Linked DNA regions of Pelodiscus sinensis. The protein of the gene in region 1 interacts with the protein of each later gene in a biochemical or structural test. Links are inferred from orthologs where the notes say so. Each region holds a gene or a part of one and is shown in the gene's direction. Other genes may lie near its edges.

Region 1 (10,543 bases):
TAACCAATACTAAAATAGACATTTTGGCTACAAGTTTCAAACCATTCTTGGAGAGGAAGGTGGTGTTATCCCTTTCCTACATGAGAAATCCTTGCGGCCAGAGGTCAGTTTGCCCTGTCAGTGCCTCAGAGCCACACAGCTGTAGCTAATCCTAGAATCACAGATGACTAGAACTGGAAGGGACCTCAAGAGGTCATCGAGTCATCGAGAAATGAACAGACAGCAGGTTGCAAACAAACAAAAGGAAGTTTTTCTTTGCCCAGCTCACAGGCAACCTGTGGAACTCCTTGCCAGAGGATGTGGTGACGATCAGGACTTTAACAGGGTTCAAAAAAGAACTAGATCCATTGATGGAGGTTAGGTCCATCAATAGCTTTTAGCCAGGATGAAGAGGGATGGTGTCTCTAGCCTCTATTTGTCAGAGGCTGGAAATGGGTGACAGGATAGGGATCACCTGATGATTCCCAGTTCTGTTTATTTCTCCTGGGGCATCTGGCCACTATCAGAAGACAGGACACTGCGCTCGATGGACCTGTAGTCTGACCCAATGTCACCGTTCTGATGTTCTTATGTTATGATATGTAGAGTTCCCTGCTACAGCACAAGATAAATGCCAATTCCTTGTGCAAAAGTTCTCAACTGAATATTGGCCTCACATCAGACCCTTATGTTTCCATTCTTTCCTCCACATGATCGGAGGCACTAGTCCGGGGCATTTCATGCACCGATTGTCCAAAGGAAATCGTTTCCTCCTACCCTTTGGCATTTGAGGTGTCTCCGAAGCGAGAAGCACAACCCTTGTTTCAAATGTGTATTCATAACCAAAAAAAATAGGATCAATCAGTCCCTGGATACCATTTATAGCATGGGCATGATGGGTTCATGTATTTCCCAAATGCCCCCCCCCCCGCCACCCCACGGCCTGCATTCATGAGAAGCGGTGGATGCAAATCTCTGCATCACTGTATGCAGAAAGTGGAAAGAAAACAAAGATTAACACCTCCGTTGCTCCCTGTGGGTGCTGGAAGGGCAAGCTTCCTCCAGGAGAAAAGGGGCCTTGGTTTGAAATGTCCTGGTTACCGTAGTTTCCCTTCCATAGTGCCTTCCCTTGGATTGGGAGAATGCGGTGTTTTAACAGGCTTTTAGGGGCCAGGTGCACAGACATCTGGAGGCTAGTGAGTTCTCACTCTTCTCCAGCGTGGAGAGAACTACCAGGGTGGAGTTTCAGCGGGTAGCCGAGTTAGTCTGTTACAGAAAAAAACAGCAAATGATCTGGTAGCAATTTATAGACAAACAAAACATGTAGATGGGATCATGAGCTTCCGTGGGCACAGCCCACTTCTTTAGATGACTGAAACTTCTGAAACAGAACAGTTACTACTAAGTATCCATGTAGTAACAGGCAAGGGAATGACACCAGCTGATTGTCTGTCGACCAGCTGGGACTGAAAGATCCATCACACACTCTAAAAAGCATCGCAGCAGCGGGTCTAAAAGGTTCAGACTCTCCTGTCTTACTCCTGCTCTCCCAGATCCATTTTTAAAGGACCTTTGCAAATGCCCTGTGACATTCTCTGGTGGAAATGCAATTTACGCCTACTTTAAGGTGCAAATTACACTTTGACACTGGCACATTCCCGTCAAAGGCCTGGGTGTAAATGAGCAACAGAACTTGAGGATCTCAGGAGTGGTTCTGGTCATGGGACCAGACCTATGGAGAGTATATGCCATTCCAGGGACATCTGTAGTGCACCCGCCAGCCCTGCAAAATGTGAACACAGAGGGCATCTGGTTAACCGTAGAAATCCAACGGCATGACTGCAGGGGCAGACCTGGGGTCTTCTTCTGTAGTCGGGAAAGGCCCTCGAATTAGAATATTTGGGGCAGAAATCTCAGCATTAGTAAAAGAGAAAAGAGAAATCCCACAGGATCCTTTTGGAACCTCTCAGGTCTGGGGGAAGATCCTTGTTTCCATCTCTGTGACTAACGGACTTCCCGGAGAGGCGGTCGCTAGGTTGGATGAGAGAAAGACTTAGCTGCATCTGCAGTGGGAAGGGGCTGACATTTTTCACAGCTCTAAGTGGTGTAGTTAGAGCTGATCTCACTTTTAGGTGCAGGCCAGACCTAGGATAAATGTAGGCTCTGAGCCAGCAAAGCTTTATCGATGTGCTTAATTGTATGCGCTGTGAGGAACCCTGCCGAGATCAATAGCAAGTCTAACCGCGTGTTAAGCGCTGTGTAGGTGTAGGCTGGACAATCTGATTGGTGCTAGAAAATCCTCTTTAAGGACTTGCTCCTACTATTGTTGAACTCAGGGGAATTATTTTGCCCTTGACATCTGTTAGACGGTTAGAACACGATCACGTAATCATTCCTCGTGGCACTGTTGCCATTTGATTTCATACCTGGGGAAAAAAGTCACCTCCCATCAGAACCATGCCAAAAAAGATTTAACTTAATGTCAAGCACTAAACTAGAAATAGCTGATCTTTGGGTCATTCACCCTCAATTATTTATATGCAACATCCTCTTAATTGATTTTACTTAATCAGCTCCTTATATTTTCCCTTTCAAGCAATGCATTTTTCTGTTGTATTGCATATGGTTAAACTGAGCGGGAGAGGAGCGTGGAAGGAAACACTGAAGTACAAGCCACATGCACTGTTCTAATGTGATGTAGTGGATGACCAACACCAAAAAATAGTTGCTCCATCCCTAAAACAGATCTTGCCCCAGTTTTGACAGGTGAGTGAAGAGCCCATCACCCACATCTTCCCTGGCCTCAGTTGCCCATCTGTAAAATGGACACAATATTCCTTCCTTTCTTTTCTCTGTTGCTGCAGTGTGCTCAGAATGTCCCTTCCTCCTCGAACCTCCCTACACCAAAGCCTGCAAGTGTGTCCTCAGAAGGTGGTTTCCCCCTGGAGGAATCCACTGTAGCCAGATCAGGTGGCTTTTAGGGACACTGGCAGCCATTTCAAGGGGCCCCAAAAAGAATTACACAGACTAAAGGGCTAGAATGAACCATTATGATAATTTAGTGTGACCTCTGACATCACACAGGGCCACAGAATTCTACCCAGTGATTTAATCAAACCAATAACTGTGCTCAGAAGATACATGAAACCTCACAGGAACAAGCACATTTAGAATAGACAATTGTATTGTGTGTGTATGGAGTAGGGGTGGGTGTGGGGGGAGGGGAGGGGAGGGGGAATGTTTAAATTGTCCAATTAACCTCTTTGCAATTATTCATTAATGATAGTTGGTTGTCTTGTGGGGCTATGGCTGCTGTTTAATAGGAAGGATTCTTTAAAAGTGTAGTCATACTGAGAAGAAAAACAACCGCTTGATGTACCCTTCATCTGAGGCTCTAAAATCACTCTACAAGCATTTGGTTACAGTAGAAGGATCAGGCAGTATGCCACTGTGCACAAGCTAAGAAGCAGGCTGCTTTGGACTCTAAAATGAAGGCTAACACATAGAGGCACTGGTTTTAGGGGCTAATCCACAGCCCAGTGAAATCAATGGGAATCTTTCCATTTACTTCGATGGGCTTTGGATCAGGCCCCTCATCCTATTGAATATGGAGTGCCATTGAACCAACGACAGGGGGCGCTCTACCACTATATTTTAATCTGTAAGACCCTGAAAAGGTGCCAGAAAAACTGTCTGTTTCCATCAAGCAAGACACAGGAGAAGCGCCAGTTTATCTATTTTTTTAAAAGAGTGCTAATCAGATCTTGGCTTTCCACACTTATTCCCAAGGGACCCTGTAGCTTGGCTTCTGTATTGTCATCATTTAGTTGAAACAATAAATACGGACTCTTAAAAAGCCAGAAGAAAAGCCGCTAATTCTGCAGAATAAAAAAAGAGAGATTCATATTTTTATTAACAAAATATTCAGTTTCTCACAAAATCACGTTGGCTGATTTTTTTTGTTGGCGTCCTTTAACATTTCTGTTTAATCGACTGTTGGCTTCTTTAGACATGTCTGTACCCGTTATAAAATTATTCATTTTATGAGTGTCTGCGTGTAAATGAAAAACCTCTGGGGCGGTCTATATCAGCATTATATTATAATTATTATAAAACCTTCGTTCTTAGAGTTGGGAAGTGTTTGTCTTCTTTGAAAGAAAAGTTAGTGGGACATATTACGCCATTTATTGATAGTGATATCTTTTTAGGGAGAAGTTTTGTAAGACAGACAGATAGATGTGTATGGGGACGAGGGGGAGAGAGAGGTGTATGCCGATAAATAGCCAGATAGCTAGATAGCGGAGGTATATGGGGATAGATAGATAGATAGATAGATAGATAGATAGATAGATAGATAGATAGATAGATAGATAGATAGATGGAGTGTATGGGGATAGATAGATAGAGGGGATGTATGGGGATAGATAGATAGATAGATAGATAGATAGATAGATAGATAGATAGATAGATAGAGTGTATGGGGATAGATAGATAGAGGGGATGTATGGGGATAGATAGATAGATAGATAGATAGATAGATGGGTTGTATGGAGATAGATAGATAGATAGATAGATAGATAGATAGATAGATAGATAGATAGATAGATAGGGTGTCGATTTCAGTGGACATTTGTACATGAAAATAATGGATGATGCCAGGACACCGTCCCCTGTTTTTTTTTACGACAGAATTTTGTCAGACAAAACTAGAATCACTTGTTCTCTTTACAACCTTAACTTCAAAATTCGGATGGAGACCAGGTGTCTGCGGGGTATTGGCAACGAAATAGGATCACTCCCCTTCGCAGAATCGCTGTTTTCTATTCCTCGAGAAAGACCGTTTAATCTCTCATGAGCCGAAGCTGTTAAAGACACTTGACTTCGTTTAATGTCTCAAACAGCGGCTGAAGTATCCTCAGAAAATAAAGACAAGTTCCAGCCTTTGGTCGAACAACTGTGGCAAGAAGAGCAAGTAGTGTTCTCTCTGTCTGTCTGCCTGTCTCTCTCTCCATACACCATATCTATCTATCTATCTATCTATCTATCTATCTATCTATCTATCTATCTATCTATCTATCTATCTATCTATCTATCTATCTATCTATCTATCTATCTAATCTATCTATCTATCTATCTATCTATCTATCTATCTATCTATCTATCGATCCCCATACACCTCCTCTGTCTGTCTGTCTGTCTGATTTCTTTCTTTCTTTCTTTCTTTCTTTCTTTCTTTCTTTCTTTCTTTCTTTCTTTCTTTCTTTCTTTCTTTCTTTCTTTCTTTCTTTCTTTCTTTCTTTCTTTCTTTCTTTCCCCATACACACTCTCTCTCTCTCTCTCTCTCTCTCTCTCTCTCTCTCTCTCTCTCTCTCTCTCTCTCTCTCCATACACATCCATCCATCCATCCATCTATCTAAGAAAACAGGGACACGGGAAAAGAATCCCCCACTAGTTACAAAATGGACTCTCAATTAGCAGGCCCCGCGAGGAAGCTTGGCCGAGCGTGTCCCAGACCCATGACCCCGCGTCCCCTTCCCAGGGGGCTGCGTGGCGAGCTGGCCGGGGACGGGGCTAGTTCCCACGGCCAAGCGTTGGGATGCGGGGTCGTTCCCGCTGGGAAGGCGTTGTGGGTGAATTGGGACCTGGCCGGTAGTTCCTGGGGGCAGCCGCTGGCGCAGGAGACGCTGCTCCGGGCTGCGGGAGACAATCGCAGGTCCCGGGCCCCGGCTGTTGGCTCCCGCACCTTGCCCCTGTTTGTTTTAGTTACCTCGGCGGTGGCTGGGTAACCGCGGGCCAGGCTGCCCTGCCGCCGCCGAATGGGCGCTCCCCAGCCATTTCACCCCTTCCTAAGCCCCAGGCGGCGCGGGGGGAATGCGGCGTGATACCCCCGCCGCTGCTGCGGCTCGGTTCGGGAGCGGAGTGACGCCGGGTCGCGCGCGCCCGGAGCCGCGTCGGGAGGGCCGAAGGTGTGTAAACAGCCCGGATTCGAATTAGCGCCAGGCTCGGGCTGGGTGGCCGGCTAGCGAGCCCCGAGGGCCGTGCAGCCAGGCTCGCAAACCAGGAAGAGTCCAGAGCTGGGGAGGGAGCGAGGGAAGGGGAACTGCTGCGGTCCTCACTGCAGAGCACCCCACATGCCCTCCCCGCCCCCGGACAGAGGCCAAAACAGGGGCCCATCAAGCCGGGTCCAGCCGCAGCGCGCTCGCCCTGGGGCCCGATCCGGCCGCCCCCGCCGCGGGCAGGTGCCCTGTCGCTTAGGTGTGAGCTGATTATTCAAATCGGCTGCCTGGGAAGAAGGGATTGGAGGCCGGCCGGGGGGCCCCCCGGTGCTATATCTCCCAGGCCCCCACGTCACAGCAGCTGCATTCGTCCTGCGCCTCCTCCTTTCCCCAGCGCCTCCGGGCGAGTCTGGGCTGAAAAAAACCCCCCACCACTCACCCAAGCAGCGGCTGCAGGAGGAAAAAAAAAAAAAAAAAGCATCCACCCCAAGCTAGCAGCCTGCTCCCCTCCCCTCCCCTCGCAGGCAGGCAGCGCGGGAGTGAGTCTGGAGGGGAGGGAGGGAGGGCTGGGGGGGGGTTGGTTTTTTTTTGGGTTGTTCTCTCTCCTGTCGTCGGTGGTGGCTGTTAAATTTTAAACGGCCATGCACTCCGCTTCCAGTATGCTGGGCGCCGTGAAAATGGAAGGACACGAACCCGCGGACTGGAGCAACTACTACGCCGAGCCCGAGGTAGGACGCCCGGCTGGCTCCTGGGGGGGAGGTGGGGGTGTGTGCCTGTCCCCCCCCCTCCCGAGCAGGGCGCGGGGCGGCTGCCGCGCCGGGTGAGCCGTGAGATAATATTAACTTTGTGCTCAAATATTGACTCGCGCCGCTTCCAAATCCTCTGCCCGGCCCGCGCTCTCCTCACAAAGTTGTGTTTGGCAGGGGAACCGCCGGGGGGGACCGGGGCGGGAGGGGGGCCAAGGCAGACCGGGGAGAAGTTTGTGGCCGGAGACGGGGTTTGGGGACGGAAGGGGGCAACGCGCAGGGGGCGATCCTGCGAGCCGAGCCAGCCGGCGGGTCCTGATCCTCGGATCCAGGGGGGTCGGGCGGCCAGCGGCTTGGGAGCGATTCCAGCCCGGCCAGCCCCCCCCCCCCCCCCCGCGATCCCACTGCCCCAGCGCGGGGCGACCGCTCCCTCTCCCGGCGCTGCTCTTGCGGGGAGCCGCCGGCTGCGGTTCCGCCAGAGCGCAGCGCGCCCCGGGGCTTGGGGAGCGGGGGCAGGGGGGGGCGCGCTTGGGGGGCGCCCCAGCCCCCTCGCTCGGGCGGCCCGCACTGCCTGGCAGCGGCGTTAACCTCCCCCCTTCCCGCTCCTCTCCCCTCGCAGGGCTACTCCTCCGTGAGCGGCATGAACGCGGGCCTGGGCATGAACACCTACATGGGCATGTCGGCCATGAGCGGCGGCGGCGCGGCCAGCCTGGGCGGGCCCGGCTCCATGAACGTCTCCTACGGCGCCGGCATGAGCCCCTCTCTGGCCGGCATGTCCCCCGGGCCGGGGCCCATGGGCGGCGGCATGGGGGCCCACCTCAGCCCCAGCCTGAGCCCCATGGGCGCCCAGGGGGGCTCGCTGGCCCCCTACGGCAACATGACGCCCATGAGCCCCATGTACGGGCAGGGCAACCTGGCCGGCCGCGCGCGGGACCCCAAGAGCTACCGGCGCAGCTACACGCACGCCAAGCCGCCCTACTCCTACATCTCGCTCATCACCATGGCCATCCAGCAGTCGCCCAACAAGATGCTGACGCTGAGCGAGATCTACCAGTGGATCATGGACCTGTTCCCCTTCTACCGCCAGAACCAGCAGCGCTGGCAGAACAGCATCCGCCACTCGCTCTCCTTCAACGACTGCTTCCTCAAGGTGCCCCGCTCGCCCGACAAGCCGGGCAAGGGCTCCTTCTGGACCCTGCACCCCGACTCCGGCAACATGTTCGAGAACGGCTGCTACCTGCGCCGCCAGAAGCGCTTCAAGTGCGAGCGCAGCAAGGAGGCGGGCGGCGGGGGAGGAGCGGGGGCCGGGGGCGGCGGAGGAGGCGGCGGGGGCAAGAAGCAGCCGCCGCCGGCCCCCCAGGCGGCCCCCCAAGCCGGGGAAGGAGGCTCCGACAGCGCCGCCGAGTCCCCCCACCCCGGCGCCTCGCCCTGCCGCGAGCACAAGCGGGCCCTGGCCGAGCTCAAAGCGGGGACCCCCCCGCAGCAGGCCCCCTCGCCGGCCCAGCACCTGCTGGCCCCCCACCACCTGGCCCACCCGGCCCACCTCAAGCCCGAGCACCACTACGCCTTCAACCACCCCTTCTCCATCAACAACCTGATGTCCGAGCCGCCGCCGCCCCCCCACCCGCACCCCCACCCCCCCAAAATGGACCTCAAGGCCTACGAACAGGTGATGCACTATTCCGGCTACGGCTCCCCCATGCCCGGCAGCCTGGCCATGGGGCCCGTCACGAACAAAGGTGGCTTGGACCCCTCTGCGCTGGCCGGAGACGCCGCCTACTACCAAGGGGTGTACGCTCGGCCCATCATGAACTCGTCCTGAAAGGGCTCCCCGGCCCCACCCGGCTAGGGGACGGAGGTCGGCCCTCGCCGGCGTTCGTGGCTCCAGCTATTGTGTCTATTTTGTGTCCGGGACCGACCTCCGAGGACACGTTCCCAGCCCGGTCCAAAGGCCAACGGATCGGGCCCCGGATTGGCCCCGGAAACCCCCGTTTCAATCGGAGACTTGGGGTGCTTTCTTGGGGGGGGAGGGGCGTTATTTGATGTCCTGGGCAGCGGAGGGTGGGGTCCTCTTTTTCGTTGCAGGGAGTTATAAATATATCTATTTTTTTTCCTGTGCGTGCGTGTGTGAAAGTGACGGAAAACTTAATTCGGTGTGAAACCAGGCTAGTTCGGAAAGGGAGGACCAAAAGTCTTGTCATGTTGTGTAAAAAGTGGGAGGGAAAAAAAAACACCAAAAAAAGGTTAAAAAAAAAAAGAGAGAAAAAAATCACAAAAAGAAAAAAAAAAGTCAGGCTAGATTGTTGTAATTGATACAAACGTTTGATGTTACCGGGCGAGTAAACTACTTGGATCTGATTAATTTATCGTTTCTGTATGCTTTATTTATGGCTTATAAATGTGTATTCTGGTCCCAAAGAGCCAGATTTTCACAAAAACTATATTAAAGTGTTATTGGCGTTTTTTCCCCCTGAATCTTTTTTTCCCGGATTTTCCCATTTGTTTCTGCCCCGCTGGAGGGGGGAAAAAAACGCTGACAAGGAAAACGAAAAACGAATGGATTCCCTTTTTATTTCAGATACTAATATATATATTTTTTTTAAATCTCTACCTAGGCTTGTATCTTTGTGTGTATTTATTCTTTCTGAATAGCATACATTCATATATGGAAAGAATGTAAACCTTTGTTTTATAAGATACAATATATTTGTATATATTATGAGATATATCTTTATTAATATATATTTAATAGATTATATAGCTTATATATAATACGTACTATATCTTATAAGATATATACACATATGAAAAATATAAACTGTCTAGGCACATCTATAAAAAGATATATATTATATACACACACTACATATCGATTAAAGAATCGTATAAGCTACATACAGAAGACACACACATGAAAAGTAGATGACCGCTTAGATTTTGTTCACGGTTGTATGAAAAAGTTTGAAACAGTTACACGGATGCGCTCCGGGTTTCAGCGGCTCGGGATCTAAAGCAAAGGGAGCGTTTGAGAATTCACCACGTTTGGATATTTCACGTTTTAAGCCAAGCCGCGAACCAAACCAGACCAAGGACCAACCCGCCTTTATAGACCCGGGATTTTCATGTAATGACTGCCCTTGGACACAACCCCCTCCTCTCTCCCTCTTCTCTCCCCCCCCCCCAGTTCAGACCGGGGATTCCACCTGAAATCCAGGCGCTGTAAAACTCACTGGCGCCAGGTGACTCGCTGTCCTTGGAGTCATGAACTTTGGAGTTTGCACACAGCTTGAAAGGGGTCAGCGGGCGCAGGGCGGCGGGAGCTGTCGCGCACTATGGCTCCGAGACCAGGGGGGCGGCTGGGTGAAGGCGGAGAAGCCCAAGCTTTGGGGAAGAGGGGAGGTTTAGGGGACTGGGGCCTCGCCAAAGGCCATCGGCTCCTGCCGCTTGGAGCGCCCGCTGCCCGAAGTGCGAAGTGACCCCGAGTGGAGCGGGCCTGCCCACACGCGAGTCTGCGCGACATATTTTCACGCCAATATGCACGCGGGGCGCCGGGATTTCGCTGGGAATTTTACCAGAGAACTTCAGGATCGGGCCCGTGTTTATTGGGGTCAAGTCCCAAGAACCTAAAATCGCAGTCGGGGAATGCGCGGCTGGCACCTTCCGCGCGTAAATCCGGAGCGGTGACCCAAAGCGAGGGGTGCCCTAGAGCCCAAACATTAGAAGCTGTTTCCAGCCTATTACACAAGTATTCACATGGCTTCCTTAGCCCTGTGTGGTGAATAAAGTCTCAGAGGGATAGCCGTGTTAGTCTGGAACGAAACA
Region 2 (10,941 bases), on another chromosome or scaffold:
ACGGTGGCTTTGGGACACAGGCTTGTGGGTGGCCGGCCGATGAAATGCGCGGCCTCTTATGCCCAAAGACGCCAGCTCCCTCCAGGAAAGTCCCTTCCAAATCACGCATGGAGGCGAGTTTTGCGTGTGCCACTCGCTGCCATGAAAAACTAACTCAGCCCCTTCCCCCCCACAACAATAAAAAATCGGTGCCTGCTCTTGATCAGTGTATCCCCGGACCAAAAATAACGGGGCCTCGCCTCGGGGGCAATGAACGACTCGCCAAGTGGAGAGCAGACGCGAACCGAGAGCGCATTTCACTATCTGTCCCAGGTAGGAGCCCTCAGTCTGACATTGATGCAACTGCATTAGAGTTAATGGCAGCAGGCTGCTCCTCGTTATTAATTGTCTTTGTGTTTGGATAAAGTATGTAATCTTCTCCTCGCCCACCCCATTAAAATAGGTTGCCTTTTCAATTAAGAACTGTCTTGAGCACAGCAGTCAATTTTCCTAATGAAGATGCATTATATTTTCACTTCTCCCCCCCCCTCCCCCAAATAATGGGGAAATCCCACGTTTTCATTAGACGCGATTACGGCGAAAGTACAGCGGGGGAGGAGGGAGCTGCCTCCGCTATATGTGGCCCATGTCGTGTATTAAACACCAGGCTTTTAAATAAATTGAAATTTCATCGAGCTAAGACGCCAGCTTGGGTTTCAAACGCGGCCAGGCAGGCTCGCTTGTCTTCAGATTAAAAATAAATAAATAAATAAATAGAAGCAGGGACCCTTCTTTAAAACGCACTTATCAAATAGAAAATCATGATTAACACGACTCCCGAGTCGACGCTCCGCCGCAGTTACGCGGGGAAACTTTTTTTTCCCGCAGTCTGGTTTGCTTACGTTAAACCAGAGGATGATGCTTTCAAATGCACTTGCACTTGGAGATAATGCGCAGCTTTTGGGAACACAAATAACACAGTTTAATCATGCAAGAACACAGGGGAGCCAGAATAGACTGACAATGAATTTTAAAATAACAAAACAAATTGAAGCTGGTGGTATTGTTTAAAACGCTGGCGTCTCTTCCCCTCCCTCCCCTACCCCACCCCTCTGAGCAAAGTACCGATTGCTAGTCTGTACGGGCTAAAGACTGGGGTTTTTTTGACATTCGAAAATAAATATTTCCTGAAGTAACAGAGGCGAATGAAATGGAACATCATGTAACAAAAGCAAACAAAACGCGGTTAAAAAATTCGCTATTCCTTCCTTAATCTGTGGCCAATTTAAGGATTTCGTTTACTAGACGATTTCCTGCCCATGTTGTACTTTTTGGATCTTTAGTAACACACACAATCCCGCCTCTTTCTTTTGCAGGGAAAATAATTCTTCCAACGTGGTGTGCAGCAGATGAAAACATGGATCTATTTTTCAAGGTGATGTTTAGAGATTCATGTAGGTAGGAAAACCACCAAGCAATCGTTGGGAGTAAGGGAAAGAAAGAAGATAACATGAGAGTTCATTTCTTATTCCCAGGGTAACAACAGTTGGTTTCTGATCTTTTGCAAGTTTTCTGCTTTGTCTGTGTGCGGGGGGTGGGGGGTGGGGGGGGGTTAAAATGAACATTTGTTTCTCCACCAGCCAGCGGCTAAAGAAGATCTGCAAAGAATGGCAAAGAAGATTTTCGATTAAAACCTTATCCCCCATCTCCGAGGATTACTTTATATCGATTCTTATATATATGGCTGCATCTGATGGGTTCTAATTAAAAATCCAAAGGAAACCAAAGCAAAGGGAAAGTTCTTTGCGGGTCTCAGTAAAAGACGTTTTCTGTGTGCGGGAAATAAAGGGTGTAAAAGGTTAGGTGGGAATGGCTCGGTTAGAGCTTCGCTGAGGAGTTTTTTTTATTCTTTCTTACCACCCCCATTGCTTTCTGGTTTTCCCCCTTCCCCAAGCCAGCTATGAAGTTTGCCAGCGTGCTGGATATCGGCCGGGAATCCTTATTTTAATATCAGGACTGGGAACTATAAACGGATTGCTCCTCATCTAGGCAACTCCAGGGCCAGGAGAGGAAAATCACGGAAACGGATAATTAACGCCTTTCAGCCACAAACACGCACACACACCTGACCCACCGGCTCCCACGTATGCACAGAATGTTTCCACCCGAGTTCGCATCCCACCCATTCCTCAGGCGCGACCCCCACCCAGCTCCCTCCGGAAACACGCGCGATCTGTTTTATTTCGCGATTTCAGGGAGACCTTTCTCCTTTTTTTGGACCATAGTCAGTTTCAGCCCTTCCTTGTGGGGAGTTCTCTCTGCCTCAGTGTCTCATGTTTGGGGAATAGATGGCTGTAAAATGGAAAGCTTCCATGTTGCCTCTTTCTTTCCCTTTTCTCCTCCCCTCCCCCTCCCTCCCATCCCAATTATGAAAGTTGTTTTAAGCGAGGTTGGGGTGGCGACTAATTAAAAACAACAACAAAGGAACGTATTCAACTCTGAGACCGAATGAAAAGGGAGCTCTTTTTAACATTGCAACAACTGGCAACATTTCTGAACAGTGGCCCTTGGTGTTTGGGGATGGCTATTTCAATCGCATCCCTCCCAAAATAAGAGGGGTTTTGGGGGGGAGCAGAAAACCGCGTATAAACTCGGGGGAAGTGCGGAATATTTTAACTAGACCCAACTCCGCAGAGGGCAAAGCTAAGCGAGTAGCATGCCTCGCTCTCCGGATCCGAGCTGCGATAGAAAGGTGACAAATCATAAATCGGTTCAGATTCGGGGAAGCTCGCTTCACTCTTCGGTAATAAACTCTTTTTGTCATCATCTACACACCGAGCGGTTCAAAACAAACAGCCACAAACGCTTGCAAAACAGTCAACGTAGAAGGCGTGGAAAATAATGCCAAAGGAATCAAAAATAGAGAGGAAAAGAGAGAGGATGGCTAGGCAGAGAGAGGAAATGAATGGCTATGGAAAACAATTGGTACTGGAAGTTGGAGAACTTACTGAGACTCAGAAGTCAGAGCGCTTTTCGTCCCAGAAGTAGATTTTTGGTTCTCAGAGTTCTTTATCGTTCACCCCACAGCGTCCACTCACTAGGAGTTTATCCCGAGTTAGGCTGGATTTCTGGCAGTGCACCTGGTCTGAAAAGGGTTTCCGTATCGAAAAAGAAGATATTGGAATTAAAAAAAAAAGCAATGCTAAAGCGCATTCGTACCGACGGAGAACCCCATTTTTGCAAGTTTCCCATTAGCTGCAGGAAAGGTTTAGCCAGGAGCTGCTGCAAGGTCTGTGCAGAATTCCTCCAGAAAGAAGGTTTCTCCCTTTCCCCCCTTTCAGATCCAATCTTTGCAAGAGCCATTCCAACACATTGCTAAGCTAAAGGGAAATTCTCTTTGATAAAGCGGTGTTCCCAGCTTCTGGGTTTTAAAACCTAAATCTATATTCAAATCTGGCTGAAGGTGTGTTCTGGGATTTATGAAAGCCTCTTAAAGGGGTAAATTTACCAAACCGTGACAAAATCATCACAATCTTACTTTAGACATCTGAAGTGGATGAGAATTTTAAAGAGACCCTTGTTTATTTAAGTCACACCGTCCATTTCTGCCACTTGTTTTATTGGCCGGGCGATTATTCCAAACTTATTAGACTAGAGGGCAAAGGAACAGGCTGGGGAGCTCGCCTCATGCAGTCCCCTAGCTACAGGAAAGGGAGCTCCCTTATTCACACGGCCCCCCACACAATCTAAGCATGGTCAGTTTCAAGAGCTGCTGCTGGTCTGGATATTTACCACAAACTCCATGGCTTGCAATTCCCAGCTCTTCAGTCCCGGTTTTTCACTAGGCTTTTTTTGGGGCGCTGTGTTTTATTTAACGGCTCCTCCCAGGTCTCCCCACTCCACCCCCACCTACATCCCCCATTCCCTCTTTTACTGCCCCCTTTTTTAACAAAAAAAAATCGATTCCCATTCAGAAAATCTTCTGGGCCAGGATGCACGGGAAGAAATTATCTTTAGATTTCTTCCAAGGTGGATTAATCTTATTAAATCGCGAGAGGACCAATGAAGGGGGAGGAGGGGAAGAGTTGATTCTCGATATTTATTATGGCAAGGAAAATTCAGAGGGACGCGGTGCCTACACGGGGATTTTACATCATTTTCAGGCTTCTCTGTCGAGTGACTGGGGAGAGGGGTACAAAGAGCCAGTATCTACTCCCCTCAAAATCCATGTGTCCGGGTTCCTACAAAGCAGGGCCGGGGAATCGATGCTTTGATTCTCTTGGGGAGCCAGGGGATGCGACACGGCGGAGTTTCCTAGCGAGTAGCTGCCCTTGCGGACATCCCAGCCAGCCCCAAACTTTTCAGAAGTCTCCCCTCAAAGGGCTGGGGGGGGGGGAACAATTATTTTACTTTTGCTTTTGTTTTGAATTGCCCCTCCCCGGCAAAAAATAAAAAATAAAAATAAAGCCGCCGAGGCTCTGAATTCTTTCGTTCATTGCAGCGCGTCCCGGCCACGCACATGTGGGCGAGGAAGCGGCAGGAAGAGGCGAGTGACCCGCTGTACTTCATGCCCCCACTGCCAGGCTCGGGCCGGCTTGTATTTGATTTCTCCCCCGGGTGCCGGCGGGAGTAGGGGCTTCCTCTCCGGCTTCTGCTGAGCTCGGCGACTTTTTTCCGCGTGTTTTAAACGTGCTCTGGTCTCCGCTCTGGGGGGGGGGGGGGGGGGATGAGTTAGCAGCCCTCTCGGACCCAGCAGAGCAAGTCCCCGAAACCGGGCGACCAGGAGAGAGCTGGCATTTCTGAATTGCCCAGGGGCGTGCTGGCCGCGAGGAAGCGCGCAATCTTCCGCCCCCCCGCGCCAGGCACTTGCTACGCGCTTGTCCCATAGAGGATCCTCTCCCCTAGGCCCCCTTTGACTGCACAGGCTCTCTCTCTCCATAGAGAGGGCATCTCTGCACCCATCTAGTGCACCCTACGCTGTCCATCTAGCAGGGAAGCAGCACTAACCCGTTTCCCCTCCGCCTCTGGCTAGTTCACTTTGGACCCGCATCCCAGGCTTGGTCCCTGTCACCAATAGTTTTCGCTCGCGCTTTATTTCTCTGTCTCTGACTTAGTTTCACTTTCTTTGATACCTCAGCTGCCTTGGGGAGGCGGGGGCGTTAAACTCCGGTCTTTGACATGCGTTGTGCTTTTAATCCAAGAGCTTCTTGGCAGATTTTGCTTTGAATTCCCCGGGATGTATCCCCTACCCCCTCCCTTTCCCATAATGTTTACTCTTATATTTTAATATCCTCTTTCGTGTGTGTGTGTGTGTGTGTGTGTGTGTGTGTGTGTGTGTGTGTGATCTTCCCCCACCGTCTCCTCTCCCCCCAGCAAGAAAGTAACGTGATCTTTGCTGTCCATCATGCTAATTGTACAATTAGTTCATATGCTGCAGCCCCGAATGTATATTTTTTTAAAAACGAGCCTCGTTGCTTTTATGTATATTCTTGTGTCGGTTTTTGGTCGCTGTTCCGTGTTGCCTGCTCGTCCCCCCAGTGCAGCAGTGGCCTGTTTTCCTCCCCCTGTTGTGTGTTTTTATTATTTTCCCTCTGGCTTAGATGTGTCAATCATTCTCTCCTTGCTATTGGTTGGAGAGTTTGCGTCAAAAAGTTGCCAGAGCGGCGCTTTCTCAGCAAATCTCCCTGAGAGAGGTAGAGACCTCAGCTCCAATTCACTTCTCCACTGTTATTAAAAAATAAAACCCCTTGGCCGGATCCGGCTACGTCCTACTTTGTATGTATCGAAGACAGAGCCCCCCCCTGCTCCATTGAAAAGCCTTTAGACTCGTGTAGCCTCGCTCGCCCCCTTTTTCGTTCGCTTCTCGGGCAAGGTGGAAGGATGCAAGATTTCTAACCCGCTGCTTTGTGATTTCTTTTGTAGGGGAGCGCTTTATTTTGAATTTGGCAAAGGATAATTTGGTCAGTTTTTTGCCCGCCTCCTCCCTCCCCCACCCCGGCACACTCCTCCCTAGAAGCCTCAAGGTAAGTGTGAACGCTTTGCTTGTTTGAAAACGGTTTCTTTTTTTCTTTTTTTTCCTTGAGCATGTGAAGATCTCTCTCTCGCTTTGCGGTGGTCCCTAAATCTGTCCCGGGAATCACAGCAGAGCTCGCGACAGCGACAGTTTGATTTCGCTTGGCCAAGGGCACAATTCAGCCTCTCTCGCTATAATTCGGAGTGGCCCGTTTCCCGTTGTTCTGTGGACTGAGACCGATCCTAGTTTCGCAGCTCCGGTAGGAGTGGGGCGGGGAAAAGGTCCGAAACTCGCTTCCCCAGATGCCTCCCCAATATAATTTAATTCATTTCCCCGATATGCAGAGTCTGAATGAAAAGGCAGGGACCAAGCCTGCTAATTGAGGAGGCGGGTAGACACTGCTCTCCCCTCCCTTGATTTGGTTGTCTGTGTGGGACTCTCTTCCTCCCAAAGCGAGCTTTTCCCATGAAAAACAAAATTGTTCTTCTTCTTGTGCTTGGCCTGATCCTCCGGCCGCTGTCTAGCGGTACATACACTTCTTAAATAAATAATAATAATAATGTGGAATGACATCCCTGGTCTGAGCGGTTATTGATAAACAGATTTCTGCCTCGTACTCCCGATCGATAGACTCAGCAAAGGGAAAAGTCGTTTTGCAAACATGGCTTTGAGCAGACGGGACTCGAGGCAACAAGAAAAGGGTTAGATTTTTTTTAAGTGTGTGTGTGTGTGTGTGTTGGGGGGGGGCTTAGACTCTTTCAATCAACTTGGGGTGGAGAGAGAATAAAAAAATACGCCGTTTCTCTTTACTGTGGAAATGAATGACAAGGATCGGGTCAATTTCTAAACGGGAGACGGATCGGTTTGCAGCTATCACTGGACAGGTGCTTTCAGAGAAGCCGTGCCCAAAACCTAAACACCGCAGAGTGGTGTGTGTAACGCAAATGGCTACACACTAGCTACCGACCGGTGTAGACAGAGACAAAGCTCTGCAATTGGAGGTGTGTGGTGTAAAGCCGTTTGTGTTATATCCCCGATATATAACTTGCAAGGGGGTTATCTTCGTTGACTAAAGAGGAAGAAGTTCAAAGGGATGCAGTCTTGGGGACACGGATACACACGGACACACACACACACACACAGCTGCATCTCTTTAAACTTGTTCCCCTTAGGCCGAAGAAAGTAAACCCGTTGCAAGTTTCTCCCCTGTGTAAACCTGTCTTCGGCATAATTCAGTCATTTTGGATCTACGTGCGTTTGCATTCATGGCGATCAAAGCGGGCGTACGGTGCACATGACATCCAATATTTTTTTAAAAACCAAAAAGGTGAAAATGCCTGGTTTGGGGGGAAGAGAGTTTACCATAATGCCGAAGGTTAGTTCCTTCGCAGGGCGGTTCTCTGATTTTTACCCGTGCAGGTGGTTTTATTGTGTAGCAACGAAGGGCTGAGTTTTTAAAACTTTTTTTGAAGGAGAATGGTGAGGTCTGGGTGATTTTTAGCTACACTGGGGAGCTCGAATAAAAAGCAGGATTTGATGATACCTCTTAACCCACCGCCAACTGTATTTTTAAATTCCCCTTCCTGTTAAAAGTATGAAGGGGGGTGAGGAGAGAAATCACTGTCACAAACAATATCAGACACCAAAAAGTGACTATGCGCAAAAAGAGGGGTCTCCCCGTTTGCATCCTTTAAATGATCCCCTCCCCCCCAGGCCTAAAACTTTCCCTGCAGTTCTTCACCCCAGGCTGCGTGTTGTGATAAACAGTACGCCAGTCTATATACGTTTTGTTTCATTGCCATCAGGCAGAAAATTAATCAGTGCACATGATCTGCCGAGCTAGGTCTGGCGGCCCGTAATTAGGGAACGTGTGTCCCTCGGATTATCTCGTTAGTTTATCAAGAAAACATTTATTATAATTAATTCTTGGACTGGGTAATTATTATTGAGCGAGGGCAGAGCAACTGGTAGATGAGATCTTTGGGAGGGAGAAAAAGGTGACAGATTGAGCAGAATGGCCGTTAGATATAAAACTGAGAGACCGTGCCACCAAGCAGGTCAGAGGCGCAAAGCCGCATGCAAGAAGGCAGGACGGTAAATCCAACTTCCCATCGCATTTCCAGATTTGCAAACGCCTTGGATTTATATGGTGTCCCTCCGCGTTCCAAGGGCGGCAGATTTCCTGCACTTTTTTTTTTAAGATCGAAAATCTCTCCCACTTAAGGCAAGTATCCACTGCAACGAATTCACTAGAAAAAAAAAGTTTGATTCTAGTCATGGAAGCTTTTAATCCTATTTCATAGGAAGATGGGACTCGGAATGTCCCTCTAACGTGGCCAAACATCAAAACGTAGGAATGGGGGTTTGTTTTGTTTTGTAATTGTTCTGAGAATTTTTTTTTTAAATTAAACTGAAATTCTTCCATAAGGGATTGTAGTGAAATATACACTTCCGAAGAGGTGTGCATGAACTATATTTGTATATATGTGATTGTGTGTGTGATGCCTGTTTATTATTCACTCACAAATGCGCGCACACAATATACTTTTAAAAACAAATCTCTTCTGATCCTAGTAAATTGCTGTTTTCTCACTAATAGAAGAAGGATTTGCAAATTAAGTACCGTTAAGTTCAAGAGAAAAATGCAATAATAAATATCGGAATTGAGAAACTTAATTCATGCAACTCAGGAAAGTTAAAATAGCCAAGTATCGATTAAAAACCTTGCTAGACTAGACTAAGGTTTGTAGTAACACAGCACGTGAAACAGAGTAGGCTGGCTTTGGTTTATAATTTAGCTAATAGGCATTTATTTGATGAAACATCTACCTTTGAATGGGAGGGATCTGGAAAAGTCTCAAAGATCCGCTTTATTTTTACATTAACGTTGAATTAAAGGAGCGTGGTTTTGTAACGTGAAAGATGAATTAACTTCCGCAGTGAGGAGTTGATTGAGATGGCTGGGTTCTTTATGCCATCGGAGCAGGAAGCCGGACAGTCTAAACATCACCATCCAAATCTTCTTCTTGCACTCTTGGAAATTCCCTCCTCCCTGTCCGCCATTTTGGGGGAAAATAAGGCGCTTCCTCAAAGTTGTAAAGTCCTTAGCTCGGTCCAAGAGCAGGGTAACATTTTATGGAACACGCTAGTTTGCCGGGCTGTGTTAATGTCACACTTTGGAACCCTGGAGCAGGATGGAAAAGTAAAGAGTTTTTTTTGGGGGGGGGAGGGGGAAGCTGCTTTCCAAATAGGTGTCAGTAGGGCTAGGGAGAAACCAACCAAAGGCTACTGGGGGCTAGGAAATGAAAGGATGGTATTTCTCCTAATAATATGCCTCTTCCTGCAGACCCAGCCTGCAATGGACAGAAAATGACTGCTAGTGTTTTAAGGGGAGTCTTTTCCTAACCCTTGAGGACCTTGGGAAGCAAGTTTCGCTGGGTGATTTTTTTTTTTGTTTGAAAGTTAAATACTTGTTTGTTTAGCGTGAGCGACCTAATCAAGAGTTCCTGAAAGCCTCATCAATCTCTTACTTACCTCTAAATCTAATTATCCAACGTACTAATTAGGTGGAAAAGGGCTGATGGAAATCACTTCAAACGCGGGATGATAGTGGCAGGACGGAAAAGTTTGGCTCATTCCAAGATGGCATTTCTGCTCTTAAATGCGCCAGCATTTTGGGGTTCCTAGCTGCTGAATGTGGGCTCATTAAAAAGCCCTGCGACAGGCCGAGGGAGAGATAGGTGTCTTGAATTGTTTCTTTGTTTCTCGCCAATGGGCTTTGTTATCAGCATTATTTATTTAGCCAAGGAGGTCTTTGTGTCCGCAAATAGCCCCAATCAAGTTTTGTTTGAGACAATTAGCTAGTGCCAGCCGATGCACCCTATGCAAATGCCCAGGGCAGCAATACAATGTGTGCATTTGAAGGCATGGGGGGAAGGGGGATGCTCCTGCGAGGCGGGTTGTAATTACTAGATGGGGTGTCACTTTTTTAAAGCGTTTATCTAGTGAGTGTCTTCTTGGTCCACGCTGCAGCCGGGACTCTCGGGGGCTAAGAGCTGAGGCCCTGCCTGTCGCTATTCACACTCCAGCGAGCCAGCAGAGATAAGAGATCGACTCCAGGCAGCTCGGCTAACCAGCCCCCCGCCCCTTGCCTCTCTTTCCCCGTGTAGACATCTGGTTTCAGCCCGCCCGCTGGGACACGGAATCTCTGCTCCGGACGGAACCCAGAGCGTGCGCGCCTTTCCCCCTGCCCCGACGCCTCGGCCGGCTCTCCGCCCAGCCCAACTTTAGCATGATGTCTTATCTCAAGCAACCACCTTACGCCGTCAACGGGCTGAGCCTGACAACCTCGGGCATGGACTTGCTGCATCCTTCCGTGGGCTACCCGGGTAAGCGGCGCCATCCGCCTCTGCTGCCCAGCGAGGGGACCCCGCTGGGGGCTGGCTTTAGGGGCCTCGCCTTTGGGGCCAGTGGCCAACCTCTGGCGCCTTCCGTGGGGCGCCCCCCATCGCCCGAGCCAGAGGTTCTGGGACTTGCCAGAGCTCCCCACCTCCTGCCCGGAGAGGCCAGGCTGGGGAGGGGAGGTAGTTTGGGGGACCCTGGCTGAGCAGGGCGCTGCGGCTCCCTGCCCCAGCCCCTCTCCCTGGGAAATGCGCCCTGGGGCCTTCCCCAGCCGCGCTAACTTTCCAAGAGGGTGTTTGGGTCTCGGGGAGGGGGGCGGCTCTGCTGCTAACCGCCACTAAGGGCCTCCGGCTGCTCTTTGCAGCGACCCCTCGGAAGCAGCGGCGGGAGCGCACCACCTTCACCCGGGCGCAGCTGGATGTGCTGGAGGCGCTGTTCGCCAAGACCCGCTACCCCGACATCTTCATGCGGGAGGAAGTCGCCCTGAAAATCAACCTGCCTGAGTCCAGGGTGCAGGTAGGGCCTCATCCCCCCTCCCGTTCATCCGG

The links.
Region 2: the proteins of FOXA2 (region 1) and OTX2 form a complex in vitro, tested with the Homo sapiens proteins (2 studies listed by BioGRID). The link is inferred for Pelodiscus sinensis from reciprocal best matches to the Homo sapiens genes FOXA2 and OTX2.

Annotation. Positions count from the first base shown.
Region 1 is NC_134713.1:196,614,816-196,625,358, reverse strand, and holds FOXA2 (hepatocyte nuclear factor 3-beta), read left to right. Parts: upstream 1-5,406; 5' UTR 5,407-5,850; coding exon 5,851-5,945; intron 5,946-6,633; coding exon 6,634-6,703; intron 6,704-7,340; coding exon 7,341-8,543; 3' UTR 8,544-9,186; downstream 9,187-10,543. UniProt on the Homo sapiens protein: Transcription factor that is involved in embryonic development, establishment of tissue-specific gene expression and regulation of gene expression in differentiated tissues.
Region 2 is NC_134714.1:10,379,420-10,390,360, reverse strand, and holds the start of OTX2 (homeobox protein OTX2), read left to right. Parts: upstream 1-5,640; 5' UTR 5,641-6,002; intron 6,003-9,338; exon of another isoform or gene 9,339-9,430; intron 9,431-10,161; 5' UTR 10,162-10,283; coding exon 10,284-10,380; intron 10,381-10,757; coding exon 10,758-10,909; intron 10,910-10,941. UniProt on the Homo sapiens protein: Transcription factor probably involved in the development of the brain and the sense organs. Can bind to the bicoid/BCD target sequence (BTS): 5'-TCTAATCCC-3'.